Linked DNA regions of Mus musculus. The protein of the gene in region 2 purifies or fractionates together with the protein of the main gene of each other region. This does not show direct contact. Links are inferred from orthologs where the notes say so. Each region holds a gene or a part of one and is shown on either strand. Other genes may lie near its edges.

Region 1 (4,118 bases), on a different chromosome or scaffold from region 2:
TCTTTCCGATGCAGGGCGGTTAGCCAGGGGCTGCAGTAGCTTTCCACTCAGCCCAGCGACTTTTACACATCCCAGACATACTCAGCGCATCTAAGCAGCGGGCTCGAGAACCCAGGACTGAGCCTTCCCGGAATCCACTCAGAGCGCCCAGCCATTAATTCTCGAACTCTTAGAATTCTGTGGCTCCGTTGCCGACTGAGGATTGGGTTCCCTTAACCTAGGGCTTCCTCTTCTCGGGCAGGAGGAGGAGTCACAACCTCCCCTCCCTTTCTCCTCCGCCTACGACCAGCTTGATTTAAAAAAAAAAATCTAATCTTTTATTTAAAGTCAACGGAGAAGCAGGAACCCCGCGCTCCTGCCTAGAAGATATTTTTACTAACTCCTTAATCTCTGCCAAGAAGGGCAACCTTAAGGAACCTGTTTTCTTTTAAGCTTTAGGTAGCAAGGGAGGAGTGTGACAGTCTGGGCCGAAACTCGAGGGCTCTATGCACTTGGGAAGGGTTATTAGGGCGGAGGTAGGGTGGGACGAAAAATTTCCAAAGTACTAAACATTGAACACGAGAGTCAACTCGAAAAGCTTTGAATCAAATTGGGAGCCGAACGTACGTATGTGTGGCTAGCTCCCGGGAAAGAAGCCTCTTGAGTCCCCGTCCAAGCAGGAGAAAAGGGGTCAGGTGAATGAATACCCAGCTTGTGACCCTGAAGGAGGAGAGTCTTGGGCCAGGAGGGGATGTGCCCATAGCCTAGGCGCGCCCACGCGCACCCCTGGAGGAGAAAGGCCGAAAAGACACCTCCTGCCTCCGCCTGGGGCTGCTACCACCGGACTGCGCCCCCAGCGCCTTGCCCAGCTTCACCAGCTGAGCGCGAACCCCTCTGCTCTCCTATTCTCAACTAGTCTCCGAGCTGTTAGGACTCGTGGCAGTCAAAGGCACCTCGTCCGCCCCGCAGAGCCCATTTCTCTCCCCACCCCATCTCCCGCCAACGCCCCCAAATTTTTTGGGCTCGCCCTTCCTGAAAGTAGGCGAGGCCCAGAAGCTGAGGCTAGAGAGAGGAGGTGGAGGAGGAGGAGGAGGAGGAGGAGGAGGAGGAGGAGGAGGAGGAGGAGGAAGGGGTAGGAGGTGGAAAAGGGGCGGCGCCGAGCGGCCAGCCAGGGGGCGTGTCCGGCACTGGCCCCGCCCCTGGGTGCGCGCGGTGGTGGCGGAGGCCGCCCAGCCTCGCTCTAGAGAGACAGGTATCGCTTAGACGCCATGTTGTGAGCGGAAGTGGGGGAGCGCGCGGCCGTCGCTGTTCTGCTGGGATCGGGCGCGGGAAGCGGCGGGGAGGGGAGGCGGGGGGCGGAGCCGTAGTCCGGGCGGCGGAAGGAGGAGAGGAAGAAAGGGGCGAGCCCTGGTGCCTGGCGGCGGCGCAAGGCTCTCGCTTGGAGTGCGGGCGGCTGTGGCTAGGCGCTGGGCGTTCGGGTGGTCGGCGTCGGCGTCGGCGTCGAGCTCGCTCTCGGGGGAGCCGCGGCTGCCCGGCTGCTGCTTCTCGGCTCTGCCTTGGAGCTCGAGTGGCTAAGGAGCCGAGCCGGCTGTGGGGCGGGTGGGGAGGGAGGAGGCGGTGAAGGCGGCGGCGGGCCGGGGAGGGGGGGAAAGATGCCGCTGGCGCAGCTGGCGGACCCGTGGCAGAAGATGGCTGTGGAGAGCCCTTCCGACAGCGCGGAGGTGAGTGCAGCCGTGCGGCAGGGCAGGCGCGCCCCTTCCCCACGCCCCCGCCGGCGCTAGCTCTCTTCCCCGGAGCTGCCCCCCTTAGACCACCTCCGCCGCCGGCTCACATCTTGTTCCCGGGGCGAGATTCTGCTTTGGGTCGTTGGGCTTTGCCGATCTGTCTGTGTCTCCTTCCCGCACCCTCGCCTCTCCCTGCTTTTGGGGTTGGGGGGTGCCGGTGTGGCGGCGCGTGGGGTTTGGAGTGGGCGCTGAGGCTTTGCAAAGAGCCTGTTTTAATCAACTTTGCGTGGGGGAAGCAGGAGGCAAAGCAGGAGCCGGCGGCGGGGAGTTGGGAAGTTTGGCCCTGCCGGCTCTAGGGTCTTCTCCGGAATCTTAGAGACTTTGGATTCGGTTCACCAGGAGCCAAGACTTCAGTCTGGCCGCCGGAGGGGTTTGCTACAGGGAGACGGGCGCCCACAGGGCAAGGTGGGCGAGCCAAGCCGGGAGGGTTTTGAGTAAGGGGTCCAGGACTGAGGGATCCCCCCACACCCCGGTCAGTCTGCCGCAGCGCTCTCTGCCGCTGCTGCAAAAGAAAAACGGAGCGCCTTAGGTCCCCTACTCCTAGGTTTTGAGGTCACTGAGTTGGAAGACCCCAGTATAACTTTTGCTTCCTGTCCATGGAGGTGAGCGGGTGAAATTCAAGGAGATCAGCGGACGCTGTAAAAGGGCTATCTGATTTTCCTCTCCCGGGATCTGATGATCGGCCCTGAGATACCCACCCCAGTGTCAGAAACCCAAACAGTATACCCAAACAAGGCAAAACAGAATTTCCGCGGACACATCCCAGCACCGAGCTTTTCACAGCCGCCACTGTCCCAGAATCAACTGGCGATCTAAAAAAATAATGCAGACAAGATCCATTCCAGGGTATCAGCGCTCCTCTCCAGAGTGGAAAATCAGTTCCTGATGGTGGCGCGTCTGTGATTCCTCTTTCTTGACTTTTCGCTGAATTCTATCCTCGCAGCGGACTTTAGGGGATTACAGAATGATAGGCTGGGTGTGTGTAATAGTTACTGAGCGAGTGACCCCATTTCTGGAAAGCATGACTGAAACGCGGGGGTGGAATGGGGCAGGCTCTGATGAGTGGTGTACTTGGCGGCAGCCACTGCCCCCATCGGCCTCCGCAGTGTGAGAGGTGGGTAGGGTTACTGGTTACGTCAGTAAAACTCGGGCTCAGTTTGGTGTGAGATGCGGGACGCTGACATTCTCTGGGAGGGGGGAGAGGGGGAGGGAGGAATCCGTTCAGATCGTTTTTTCTAATTTTTCTCCCCTGTCACCTCCACTACCATATAAAAATATTTACTTGTTCTTAAATGCAGGAAGAGTTGTAATAAAGCTTACAAGTTCATGCTTAATAATTTACTACTGGATAATGCTGTTCTAAAATAGCAAAGACATAGGTATATGTTACTTTTTTTTTTAAAGGAAAGGCTGGTGTAAAAAAGGAAATCGTGTTTTTACGACTGGCAGAATACAAGAATTTTATTTGAATTTAGAGCCAATATGATACTATAAATCTTTAATAATAAAGTTAAACTTAGAATGCTTAACCGTCATTTGAATGGGTAGTGTGGAAAAACAGTATGGCAAGGGAGCCTCTTCATTTTTTCTTAAAGAAAAAAATTTGCATTTAAAATACAGCTATAAAGGTGGTTAAAATTGCTGAACCTGTCGAAGAAATTGTATTTTCTTATAATCTGCTTTTTATTTTAGGTTTTTTTTTTCTTTAGTTTTTTGAAACAGCCCAGGAACTCACTATGTAGACCAGACTGGCCTTGGTCTCACAGAGATCCACCTGCCTCTGCCTCCCAAGAACTGGGATTAAAGGCGTGTGTCTTCATGCTTGGCTATGAGTCTGCTTTTTAAATATACACAATAATTATGATTCAAAAATAATCCACTGATACATTAAAATGTTTTTAACAACAAATTGCCTTTGAATAGTTTGTTCCTTTGATTGTTTGTTAATCCACATTTTTCCTTGACATGTGTCAGTATGCAGGGAGAAATCATTTAAAATTCTACTTTATCCTTTTTTCTGTATAGTATGCATTTAGACAAAGTACTCGCCTACTTATTTAGCATCTACTATATCCAAAAGTACTATGTTAAACATGCTGTTTCGTTTTTATCCTCCCTGTAACCTAGCAGGGAGGATTGTGATCCCCCACTGTTACAGAGTAGGAAACTAAATTCAGTGGTTAAGAGCACAAAGATTATAAATAGTAAATGGCAGAGCCATAATTTGAAGCCAGGTAGATACAAATTGTATGCTTTGCTTTATGTTAGAATAGGTTCTTCTGACCATTCGTGGAAAGAGTCAAAGCATAGACATGCTAATAGTTAGAGATCGTGTATTTTTATATGCAAATACTT
Region 2 (3,560 bases):
TGCGCATGTGCACACAAAATGAATGCACATAAATATCACACAGAAACCCCCGTTGCTTCTAGTTGACTCTGGTCAGACCCGTCCTCCTCCTTCCCGTGCTCTTGCATGGAGGAGCTCCCCCTGCAGGCTGCTTACCACAGCTGCCCTTTGACAGTCGCCTTCAGATGTGGTTACAAAATCCTAACTTGCAAACAAAAGGACTTGGTAAGTAAGGCCAGGTAAAGCTTTCCCCATATTCTTTCTTTAAAAAAGGAAGGAAGGAAGGAAGGAAGGAAGGAAGGAAGGAAGGAAGGAAGGAAGGAAGGAAGGAAGGAAGGAAGGAAGGAAGGAAGGAAGGAGAAAAAGAACTGGTGGTGGTGAACACTTTTAATCCCAGTACTCAAGAGGCAGAGACAGGCAGATCTCTGAATTCCAGGCCAGCCGGATCTATAGAGCTAGTTCTAGGCCAGCCAGAGCTACACAGAGAAACCCTGATTGGGGGTGGGAGCGGGGAGAACAAATAATTAATAATGAATAGAGAAAGAAAAAGATTGTGTGTGTGTGTGTGTGTGTGTGTGTGTGGGTGTGTGTGGGTGTGTGTGCGCGCACATGTGAGTGTAGGTGTCCACAGAAACCCTGAAGCTGGAGTTATAGGTGGTGGTGAGTTGCCCGAGGTGAGTGCTGGAAACCAGACTCTGGTCCTCTGGACCAGAGTAGAGTGCTATCTGCTTAATCACTAAGCTGCCTCTCCAGCCATCCCCTCTCACTTTTCTTATACAGGAGCAATGAACAGCCATGCATGGTGGCACATCTCTGTGATCTCAGCACATGGAAGGCTAAGACAGGAGCAGCAATGGAAGTTCAGGCCAGTCTGGGGCACATAGAGAAGGAACACAGTAAAAAAAAAGTTAAAAAGGTATGAGAAAAGAGACATATTTGGGGACCTTGGAGACTCATCAGATCTCTAAGGAAGAGATTCTCATCAAAATGTTCTTCCTACAAATACAAAGGACTTGACCCCCCGGAGGGAGAGGAAGCAGCTTATCAGCATAGGAAGTGCCTAATGGTATCAAAAAGCAACACAAACGTGTTCACCCAGCTGTACTTCTTGGCAAATGTCTAGTGAGTCTGTCATTCGAATATTCTGTTACGGAAGGTGACTGGTTTTTCCTTTTAGGACTTGGGGGCTGAAGATGAAACTCAACAGTGCAGGCTTCTAACACCCAACAGGGAAGCGGAAGCACTGGGGAAAGGCATGGGAGAGAGGGAAATGGATTATGGGCACTAAGAGCTTAAAACAGATCTACCCCGTCGGATCTGACAATTCCACTTCCAGGAATCGGTCCTGAGAAAGGTCCTTTAAAAGTGCACAAGAGGACCAGTCGTGGTGGCACACGCCCCTCTTTTATCCTAGGGCCCGGATTGCAGAGGCAGGTGGATCTCTGTGAGCCTGAGGGCAGCCTGGTCTGCATAGTGAGTTCTAGGCCAGGCAGAGCTAAGGAGAGAGTGAGACCCTGTCTCAAAAACCAAAGGGAGGGAGGGAGAGAGAGAAAGGAAGAGAAGAGGGAGGGAGGGGAGGGTGAATGGTGGCCTGTAAGGTGACTCAACTGGTAAAGAAAGGGACTTGTGACCAAGCCTGCTGACCTGAGAGCGATATTCAGGACCCACCTAGGTGAAGGAGAACTGAGTCCTCCCAGTTTTCCTCTGATCTCCACATATGCATATCCTCCCGCAAATAAAAAAATTCTAAAGTAGTAAAAATCAAAACACTGCAATTCCCAGGAATCTGACACCCTCTTCAGACCTCTGTAGGCATTAGGCACACATGTGGCACATACATACATATATACACACACACACACATACATACACACACACATACATACACGTGAAACCATTATAAAATAAACTTTAAACTAAAACAACAACAACAAAATCTCACCTTTACAAAGGCAACCAAAACAACAACAAAACCCAAAGTAATCATAGCAGATAATAGAGACTTGCTATCCCAGTCCCCGCTCTAGCGCCTTACTCTAACTTTTCTTTGGTATGTACACACGCGTACCTTGTAGCCTCCAATTCGGTGGTCAGGCTTAAACTCTTTGCCATTTTTCAACCAGCGCAGAGTGGGGTTGGGTGTCCCACTCGACGGGCACTTGAACTTCACCGTCTTGGCAGCGGGCACCGCATGCAGTTTCTTCTCCATTTTCTCTGGGGATGTCCAGTAGGGAGCTACAGCTGTACAGGAAAAGCCAAAGGAGACGAATGAGGGCAGCAGGGGCGGCCAGGCTCAGAAGCCAGGGCCCAGGCAGGACCCCATGCCTCCCGTCTACCTGTTCAGTAAGTACCCTAGGTCTTCTAGAGAGGCAGCAACCAGGCACCATGGCCCCCAGGCCCTCTGAGCCTCTCTCCTCCCACTTTAGCCAGGCCTTCCTCTAAGTCCCAGCTCCCAGTCTCGAAGGCAGTAAGATAGAAAACAGTGTCTCACGCCTACGGTTTGGTTTGGTGTTGTCCGTCTCTTTCTCCTCCGAGGAGGAGTCATCGTCGTCGTCATCATCTTCCGAGGATGGGAGTGCATCTGTGAGAGGAAGGAGGGGGACTGAGGAGCGTCTAGACCTCCATCCAAACAGCATTCGCCCTGTCTAGACAGACCACCTCACTGCGGTCAACGCGGTGACATGGATAACGCAACAGCCGTCCCATAAGGACTCCCAATTTTCCTGAATTTTGCCTCAGTGACAGTTTGTGTTTAAGAGCTGTGTGCTCCAGTGCTCATCCCGGCCCCAGCGCACTGCCTTCTGCCTAAAAGTTCAGATGGCTCTATCAGGGCCAGCTCCTTTTTTTCCCCCAAATTTATTTAATTCCAGCCTATACACCAAGGCCACTCAGCTAACAGTACCACTTGGGTATCCATAACAGCAGCTGAGGAATCAGTATTCTCTGGACATCAGCCTTTGAGAAACCCAGGCAGATCTAGACACCTGGGCCTTGAGGCTACTTCTAAAGCCTCCGGCTGACCAGCCTGCAATCAGAATCTTCTGGAATGAGTTTCCTGAGGGCTGGAGCTGCCTGCTTTCCTTTCTCTCTCTCTCTCTTTCCCCCAAAGATGTCTTATTGTTTTTAAAACTTATATGTATCTATATGAGCCTGTGTGAGTATGTCCCATGTGTATGCAGGAGCCCAAGGCGGGTGGGCCAGAACGGGGTGCCAGATCCCCAGGACCTGAAGTTACAGGCAACTGTAAACAAGCTATGTGAATGCTGGCAACCAATTCCACTCTACAAGAGTGTCAGGCTCTCTTAACAGCTGGGCAATCTCTCCTGCCCCAGAGCTGCCTTTTTGGTGGATGTTTTAAGACAGGGTGTCTCATGATGTAGAGATGTAGACAAGGCTGGCTTCAAAAACAAAACTCAAAAACATACATCCTGTAGAGTGCAGGGACTAAAGGTGTACACTACTATGCCGGCTATAGCTAGCCTCACTCCCCAAATGGGATGCACTTTGTGTAAATACAGGCTATGTTCAGTAGCTTCTTTAATCCCAGCACCCGGGAGGGAGAAGCAGGCAGATCTTGGAGA
Region 3 (4,055 bases), on a different chromosome or scaffold from region 2:
AATTCCAAGACAGCCAGAGCTGTCTTATATACAGTGAGACTCTGGTGGGGGTGGGGGTGGGGTGGGAATTAAGGGCAAACATGATTAAAAAAAACAAATTGTATATTAATGTTTTGTCTGCAAGTATATCTGTCCACCACATGCATGCCTGGTGTAGTCAAAGGCCAAATGGGGACATAATATATATATCCTGGGTTGGACTTACAGATGGGTGTGAGTGGCCATGTAGGTGTTGGGAACAGAATCCGGGTGCTCTGGAAGACCAGCCAGTCTCCAAACTATTGAGCCAACTTTCCAGCCTCAATTTTGACTTTTTTTTTTCCATTTTTTATTAGGTATTTAGCTCATTTACATTTCCAATGCTATACCAAAAGTCCCCCATACCCACCCACCCCCACTCCCCTACCCACCCACTCCCCCTTTTTGGCCCTGGCGTTCCCCTGTACTGGGGCATATAAAGTTTGCGTGTCCAATGGGCCTCTCTTTCCAGTGATGGCCGACTAGGCCATCTTTTGATACATATGCAGCTAGAATCAAGAGCTCCGGGGTACTGGTTAGTTCATAATGTTGTTCCACCTATAGGGTTGCAGATCCCTTTAGCTCCTTGGGTACTTTCTCTAGCTCCTCTATTGGGAGCCCTGTGATCCATCCATTAGCTGGCTGTGAGCATCCACTTCTGTGTTTGCTAGGCCCCGGCATAGTCTCACAAGAGACAGCTACATCTGGGTCCTTTCGATAAAATCTTGCTAGTGTATGCAATGTTGACTTTTTTTTTTTAGAGTGTTGTTTGTATAACAACCCTGACCGTCCCTAAAATTACTCTGTAGGCTAGGCTGGCCTCGATCCGCCGGCCTCTGCCTCCGGAGTACTGGCATAGCGCCACTACCGCCCAGCCAATTTTGACTTTTTGACAGTGTCAATATGTAGCCCTGGCTGGACTAGAACTCCTGGAGAGCCACCTGCTTTTGCCTCTAGCGTACTTGGATTACCGTGGGCCACCACGCCCAACGCGACTAACCTTTTGTTTCTAAAGGATGGTCAGTCTGGTTTCGGCGGGAACTTCCAGAAGGCCTCACCACATACTCCTGGCCCTTTAAAGAAGACCTCCGGTTGCCAATGCCGCCGACTCCCGTTGCTAAGGACGTAACGTCCCGCGCCGACGCTGGGGCGGGGCCGTCCTGCGCGGCGCCCTGGGCGGAAGCGGAAGGGGCGGGGCTCGCCGAGCGGACTCTCTAGCCCTTGTGGGTCCCTGTTCAGCGCCCGGCCGTGTGGAGCCCCGGGAGCCAGTCCGGGCCTCCGAAGCGAAGATGGTGGACTACAGCGTTTGGGATCACATCGAGGTGTCGGACGATGAGGACGAGACGCACCCCAACATAGACACTGCCAGCCTCTTCCGCTGGCGGCACCAGGTGGGGCTGTGCGCGCTCATCCCCTTCCCCCCCACTCCCGGGACCCCCCGCTCTAGAGTTCTGACCTCTTCCCCAGGCCACCTGGCGTGGGGGCGGGGGAGACCTTAGTTATTGACATCTGGAGCCGCCTGCTCCACAATCTAGACTTTTCTCTTTCTTTTCTTTTCTTTTTCTTTTTTTTTTTTTTTGAAACAAAATTTCACTGTGTAACCTTCCCTGGCCTAGAACTTGCTGTGTAGAACAGGCTGGTTTCTAACTCACAGTGATCCTCCTGCCTCTGCCTTCCCAGTACTGGGATTAGAGACATGTGCCTTCATGCAGGGCCGGACTTTTTAATTCCATCCCAGGACTCCTGGCTTCTTCACCGTAATTCTTGACCTGTATCTCCAGGCGTTCTCTCTGTGCTATGGTTCTCTTCTGTTTGTAAGTTTATTTATTGTGTGTGTTCCCGTGTGCACGTGGCACAGCATGCCTATGGTGATCACAGGATAACTTGTAGAAGTTGGGCCTCTCTTTTCACCATGTTGGAACTGGCTGTGGAACTCCAGTCGCCCCACGTTGCCACAAGCACCTTTACACTCTGAGCCATTTTATCAGTTGGTAATACTTTAGTCAGAGTCTTGCCTCTCCCCATCCCCAAGCTGACCCTTGTGTGTAGGGTCCCCACTATCCTGTGCAGAACCTTCTGTTCTTCCTCAGAGTCTGGACCCCAGGTTCTGTTAGGTGATCTCATAGCCCAGCCACGCACCCACTTCATATTGCACGTCTCCCTTCTGCCTCTCCTCACTACTTAGAGTCTGGAGCCACAAAACTTCTGACTATGGCATCTATTTCCCAGGATCTTAGGCATGAATTTCTATTAAAGGCCCAGAGACGACCCCCTCCCCCCCCAACTTCCAAACTAAATGAGCCCTTAATTTAACTGTCAATCTTAGCTTGCAGCTGGGATTCCCCAGTCCAGGATCCCTTTCCCTGGGTTATAGACTTGAGTCCCACATGGGACATACCTGTAGAGCCCCCTTATCCTCTGTATTTGACCTCCATCTCCACTCTTGCCCATCATTCAGTTCCAGTGGCTCTCCTTATTCTCACCTCCTGTAGACTCTTATTTCCTGTTACTCCAGGAAACCCCACCCACCTAACTTCCTGTTAGAACCTCTGCTCCTTCTAGTATAGTAAGTAGACCCTCTCCTTCCCACCTTGGCTCCTATATGAACTGTAGCCATCTTTGAAAATTCACCAAACCAGGAGCCAGATGATGATGACACACATTTTTAATCCTAGCTCTCAGGGGGCAGAGGCAGGCAGGCCTGTGAGTTCAAGGCCAACCTGGTCTACAGAGAGTTCTACAGCTAGCTAGGGCTACACAGAGAAACCCTGTCTGGAGGGATGGGGCCGGGAGTCGGGTAGGATAAAGAGAGGGGGGAGGGGAGGAAGAGAAAGAAAAGACAGCTCACCAACCCAGAAAACCAAGCCTGTCCTGTCCTACCTGCCCGTTCCCTCCAGCTTCATCTGTCTCTCTCCAGGGTTCAGAGCATCCTAGTTAACTCTGGACCTCCCAGATAATGTTCCCACATAACCTTACTTTCTGAGCATGGTAGCACACCTGTAAACTCAGGTCTTAGGAGGAGGACGAGGAAGGAGGATCTGGGATTCAGAGTCAGTCCTCGATATAGGGCAAATTCTAGGCTAGCCTGGACTACATGAGACAATATCAAAAACCAAATGGGCTGGAGTTCAGTTGTATGGCATTGCCTTGGGCTCCATCTCTAGCACTGCTTAAAAACTAGCCATGGTGGGGCAGGCCTGTAGTCTGAGCACTGGGGAGAGGGAAGCAGGAGGGTCAGAAGTTCAAAGTCGTCAGCCACGGTAAGTGTGAGGCTGGCACAGGCTACAGGGGATCCTGTCAACCACCAAGCAAATAAAATACAGTCCTCTGCAGTTTTACATCTCTCCAAAACAGACGCCCCAGATTGAGACCTTAGAACCCCAAGTGTGAGCAAGCCATGCTCTTGCCCCTCCCTTGTGCCATCATTACCTGCAGGCCTGTAGCATACTACCAAGATGTGAGGGTGGCCTGGATGTGTGGTTCAGTGGTAGAGTACTTCTCTAGCGTGCAAGAGGTACTGGGTTCCAACTCTGTCGCAGCAGTAAAGAGACAATGGCCTAACCTGCTCCCCAAATTAAAACTTCTATACCCATATACCTGTGTGTCTTATACTCTTTGTTTAAGTTACATCTTAATTTTTTTGTGTGTGTTAATTCTTATGTATGTGTGCCGAGGTATCCTTGTGGCAGTCAAAGGATAACTTGATAGAGTCCACTTTCTCCTTACATGTGGGTTCTTGGGATCAAACTCAAGTCATCAGGCTTGGTAGCAGGCCTTTTCCCACTGAGTCCTCTCATTGGCCCCTGTGCTTGTTATACTCTCAAGCTGAGGGCAGGTACTTTCCATTTAGGAATTTTGCATCTCACCTTCTTGGGGAAAACTTCTCATTACTCCTAGAAAGTCCTTCCCCATCCTCCCCAAATCCAGCATTCGGCTCCCAGTCCCACCCACACACCTATTCCTTCCAGTTTCCTGGGAAGACCACCTGCCAGGCAGCAGTGTGTGGCAGCAGAGAAGCCCAGTGCCTCGCATAGCAT
Region 4 (4,293 bases), on a different chromosome or scaffold from region 2:
ACAGAAAAAGCTGGCTGAAAAATAAAATGATTATTTTTAATCATTTTAACAGTTATTAATTGTGTGTATGTGGCAGGCCTGTGACAGGTAGAGGACAACTTGCCTAAGGCACCATGTGGGTTCCAAGGATCTAACTTGTCCCATGCTTGGCAGCAAGCACTTTATCACTGTGCCATCTTCCCAGTCCTAGCTGTAGTTTGCAGTATATTTTATACTGCAGCAGCCACTGGCTTGTGTGGGAGCTAGTGCCTAGACCAAACCAGGATTGCTTCTCTTGAAACCCTCTGGCACTCATTACGTGCTTGATGAATAAATGGATGGACAGGTGGCTGTGTACATTTCTCTCACTTTCTCAGTTTCTTTCAGTAAATCCCAAAATATCATTTTCCTTCAGAAATTCTGGCATGATTCATTCCGGGTCCTGCCCTGGCCATGCCTTCTGTGTTTCTCATTCAGCAAGAAGTCCACTCAGATTTAGTTCACATTAAAAATAAACAGAGCTTTTGATATCCAAATTGCAACTTGCAGGGTATTAGAGAAGATAGGGAATTGCAATTTTACATACGATTTTCCCCGATTTTCAGCCTTGAGATTTCTCCCTTGAAGACTATGGCAAATGTGCATCCCTCTTTGAAATGTATCAAGATGTAAAGGGGAATTTGAATGTATTAAAGTTTGCAGCAAAGAGAATATAAAATGTAAACAAGAAAGAACAGTTAAATGTGTGAGTGGATATGGGGATGGGTAGAATGAGAGACGGGAACCATGTATGTGCGTCGGGATGGATAGGAAATATGATGAACAGATATGAGCTGAGGAGGGGTGTGAAAAGGATTGAAAAGTTGTGCAGGTGGGCGAATACAAGAATTGGTGGGCAGGTGTAGTATGGCTAGATTAGTGCATTTGCAGAAGGAAGATGGGTGGACAGAGGAATGGATGGGTGGATTGTGAGTCCGAGAAGGATTTAAGAAATTGGTAGATATTTTGAGAGCATGAATGAAATGTGTTGAGCACCCTTGGGTTTTCCCCGGATCAAAGATCAGATGAGCGGTTTGGACTTCTCTCAGAGGGAAAGAGGAAAGAACACTCCCACAAGTTCCCCACTTTTCAGTCCCCACCCTGGCCAGGAAAGCACTCTCCACTAGGATGGATCTCTCCCTCTCCCTCTCTCTCTCTCTCTCTCTCTCTCTCTCTCTCTCTCCCTTCAGCCTCTTTCTTTCTTCAGTTCCTCCCTAAGATAAGTCCAGCTTCCTCAGCTTCCTGGGAAAACCAGTCTTTCCCTAGCCAGGTTCCCAAGTTTAGTGGCAAAGGAGAAACTGGAAGATTTAACTGAGAGGGGCGAGGTCTTAGAACTCAGTCATTCTCCTTGTCCCAGGCAGCGCTTCTCATAGGCTGGTAGGCTGGGCCAGGGTAGGAAGCCTGTGGAGTGGCCCTGGAGAACGTGGGCGCACGGGGGCTGGGGGGGGGAGGGGGGCGGCCATTCTCTTCTGTCCAAGAGAGCAGGGCAGGAGTGCAGGGGCAGTAGCGAAAGCAGGCTGGTGTGTCTTTAAACTTCCGTTGGCTGCTTAGTCACAGCCCCCTCGCTTTGGGTGTGTCCTTCGCGCGCTCCCTCCCTCTTAGGTCACTCACTCTTTCAAAGCCTGGAATAAAAACCACAGCCAACTTCCGAAGCGGTCTCATTGCCCAGCAGCCCCCAGCCAGTGACAGGTTCCATTCACCCTCGTTGCCCTTCTCCCCACGACCCTTTTCCAGAGGCGACTAGATCCCTCCGTTTCATCCAGCACGCCATGGACAAGTTTTGGTGGCACACAGCTTGGGGACTTTGCCTCTTGCAGTTGAGCCTGGCACATCCACATCAGCAGATCGGTGAGTGGCCCGCCACCGCGCCTGAGGACTCCAGCTGGATGCCTCTGGGTTGAATCGCCCTGGGGAGGGACTGTAGTGAATTGGGCTAGCAAAGCAAAGCTGGGATTTGGGGCTATGCTATTGGAAAGAGTTTACGCCTGGGAAGTGCTGCTTTGGTGAAAGGAAAAGAGAAAGGGAGAAGAAAGTTTGCTGGGCAAGTTGCCCGCAGATTTTGGGCGAGGTCCCCATGCTTGCTGGAGCACATGGCTCAAAAGTAACTGTACTCTTGGATGCCCGCAGCCTCTGTCCCGACTAACAGGCTCTGGTGCTCAAGGGCTCCCCAAGCCTGGCTAACTGTGGCTAGGCAGGTAGAGGCAGACACTGGAACAGACCTGTAGAGCACTCCCCAAGGTGTGCACATAGCTACAGGCCAGAGATTGGGCAATGAGCTTTTCAGAAAGGAGCCTTGAAAAGCTGAAGACAGTGGGTCCCAGCTTTGACTAGTTTTCGGGGCTCTTAAAGTCAGCTTTGGTCACCAACGGCTTTATTTTAGCTTGTGGGAGTTTGAACTGGTTTGTGTGAGGCTCTGAGTGGCCTAAAGGTTCCAACATGGACCAAGGAGGACACATAACCGGAGCAATAATTCGACCAGCCGCGCAGTGCTTGCAGTCTAGGCAAAGTCAAACAGCAACAGGGTTCATATTTGCTGCCTGGCAGCCTCAGAGCAGGAGGGGACCTGTATCAGGGTAACCTGTGAACTTTAGCGCAGTCCCTAATATCCCATCTAAATGTGGTTGGTGACTTTGGTGGCTGTGGAGAGGAGGAGCTTGGGCCAAATATCCAGTATGGCTCATTTTCAAGCGTCCCCCCTCCTTTATCTATATATGAACAGATAATTCCACGAAGGCTTTGGTTATCATCAGCATAGTTAAATTTTCTTTGAAGAAGTGCCAGCTAGGTCATTAAGTCAGCTCAGACTTCAGTGAGTTCCTCTCAACAAGAATTACTAAATCCAGTTCTGGGGGTAAGGGGTGCCAAACTGGGTTTTTTTTTCTTTTTAGACATGGTACGTTGGGATTAGAAAATCGCACCTCCATTGTTGAATGTTAAATTTTGAATGCTGATGCAGAAGTAATGCAAATAATAATTGCAGTAGGACACTATTGGCCATTTGTGTGTGTGTTCTTTGCTGTGCTATGTTAGGTAATTCACATAAGCTATCTCATTTTATCCTCATGGTGATTTGGTGACAAATGCTCCCCCCAACACCTTACCAGTAGGGAAACAGAGGCTCAGAGAGGTTAGGTGACTTCCCCTAGTCACACAGCAAGGAGTGGGGCTGGGTGTGAACTTGGGTTCATTAAGTTCCCTAGCTTAGACTGCCATGGGATATCTAAAAGCAAGTGCTAGACAAAGTTGAAAAGACCTTCAGGGACAGTAACAGTCTAGCCAGCAGAGGCTGCAGTGGAGGCTCCCATAGGGAGCCAGAGCTCCTAGGATCCATTGGAAGGCAGAAACATTCAGGATGGATGAGGGAAGGACAGAGAGAGCCTGGACCTGACCTCAGAGGACAGGAGGAAGGTTGGCACACTGCTCCCACCTTTGTTGGGGCTGAGGAGCCGAACTCCCACATTTTCCTGGCCTGTCTCCCGGCTATTCTAAAAGGTCTACTCCCAGATACCTGTTGCCCTTCCAACCCCCCCTGGAGTCAGGTTCTGAGGCCAGCAGGCTCTCTTCTGCCTTGGGGTTTCTACCTTCTTGTTGTACAGTGTGGCTCCAGGACAAGTAGAGCTGGTGCCAGTAGCAGCAGCTCCATGGACCCTGGCTTTCACGCCCTTGTAAAGCCGATGAAGGAACTGAGACTCTGAAATGAGATGTGACTTAGCACAGGATGTGTGTGAAAGAGAAAGGGGAGGGAGAAGAGAGGCATCATGGTTGCCCCATTCTGGGAGTGACTGGTTTGGGAAGATGATGAGGAAGCACTGAGACCAGCAAAGTTGCTGGTGGTGGGGCTGAGGGTGGGGAGGGTGGGGAATGGAGGTGGAGGGGCGTTGGGGAGGGGTGGCGTAAGAGGAGGAAGCATCCATCACTGTGCTGGCAGTCAAACGGTAGAGAAGTGGTGGAGGCCTAAAGCAACTTCTCCCCCAAGGGAAGAAAGTGGCCCTAGACCAAAGGCAGAGGGGACAAGTGTCCACTTGCATCTCTCCTCTCCCTTTCCAAAGATCGTGGTTAGGAAACTGTACCTCTATTGTTGAGGAAGATGGGGTTCATCTGGGAGTCTTGGGACTTGGGGACAGCAGGCACCGTTCTGCTTCCTCTGAGCATTGGCAGTTAGAGTGTAGGCTAGGCCTTCCCAGGTGAAGAAGTAAGGAAGCAAGCCCTGTCCTTGCTGAAGTATCTCCATTCACTCAGTTACTCCCGGGTACACACAGAACATCTATTTCCTTC

The links.
Region 1: the proteins of Fgfr1 (region 2) and Rps6ka3 purify together in Homo sapiens (affinity purification with mass spectrometry; 4 studies listed by BioGRID and IntAct, with this or other methods). This does not show direct contact. The link is inferred for Mus musculus from reciprocal best matches to the Homo sapiens genes FGFR1 and RPS6KA3.
Region 3: the proteins of Fgfr1 (region 2) and Cdc37 purify together in Homo sapiens (affinity purification with mass spectrometry; 3 studies listed by BioGRID and IntAct, with this or other methods). This does not show direct contact. The link is inferred for Mus musculus from reciprocal best matches to the Homo sapiens genes FGFR1 and CDC37.
Region 4: the proteins of Fgfr1 (region 2) and Cd44 purify together in Homo sapiens (affinity purification with mass spectrometry; 3 studies listed by BioGRID and IntAct, counting the BioPlex papers as one, with this or other methods). This does not show direct contact. The link is inferred for Mus musculus from reciprocal best matches to the Homo sapiens genes FGFR1 and CD44.

The regions. Positions count from the first base shown.
Region 1 is NC_000086.7:159,254,489-159,258,606, forward strand, and holds the start of Rps6ka3 (ribosomal protein S6 kinase alpha-3), read left to right. Parts: upstream 1-1,293; 5' UTR 1,294-1,631; coding exon 1,632-1,700; intron 1,701-1,717; exon of another isoform or gene 1,718-4,118. UniProt on the Homo sapiens protein: Serine/threonine-protein kinase that acts downstream of ERK (MAPK1/ERK2 and MAPK3/ERK1) signaling and mediates mitogenic and stress-induced activation of the transcription factors CREB1, ETV1/ER81 and NR4A1/NUR77, regulates translation through RPS6 and EIF4B phosphorylation, and mediates cellular proliferation, survival, and differentiation by modulating mTOR signaling and repressing pro-apoptotic function of BAD and DAPK1.
Region 2 is NC_000074.6:25,556,731-25,560,290, reverse strand, and holds part of Fgfr1 (fibroblast growth factor receptor 1 isoform 1 precursor), read right to left. Parts: intron 2,561-3,560; coding exon 2,471-2,560; intron 2,221-2,470; coding exon 2,048-2,220; intron 1-2,047. UniProt on the Homo sapiens protein: Tyrosine-protein kinase that acts as a cell-surface receptor for fibroblast growth factors and plays an essential role in the regulation of embryonic development, cell proliferation, differentiation and migration.
Region 3 is NC_000075.6:21,147,110-21,151,164, reverse strand, and holds the start of Cdc37 (hsp90 co-chaperone Cdc37), read left to right. Parts: upstream 1-1,230; 5' UTR 1,231-1,307; coding exon 1,308-1,409; intron 1,410-4,055. UniProt on the Homo sapiens protein: Co-chaperone that binds to numerous kinases and promotes their interaction with the Hsp90 complex, resulting in stabilization and promotion of their activity. Inhibits HSP90AA1 ATPase activity.
Region 4 is NC_000068.7:102,898,841-102,903,133, reverse strand, and holds the start of Cd44 (CD44 antigen isoform c precursor), read left to right. Parts: upstream 1-1,468; 5' UTR 1,469-1,787; coding exon 1,788-1,866; intron 1,867-4,293. UniProt on the Homo sapiens protein: Cell-surface receptor that plays a role in cell-cell interactions, cell adhesion and migration, helping them to sense and respond to changes in the tissue microenvironment.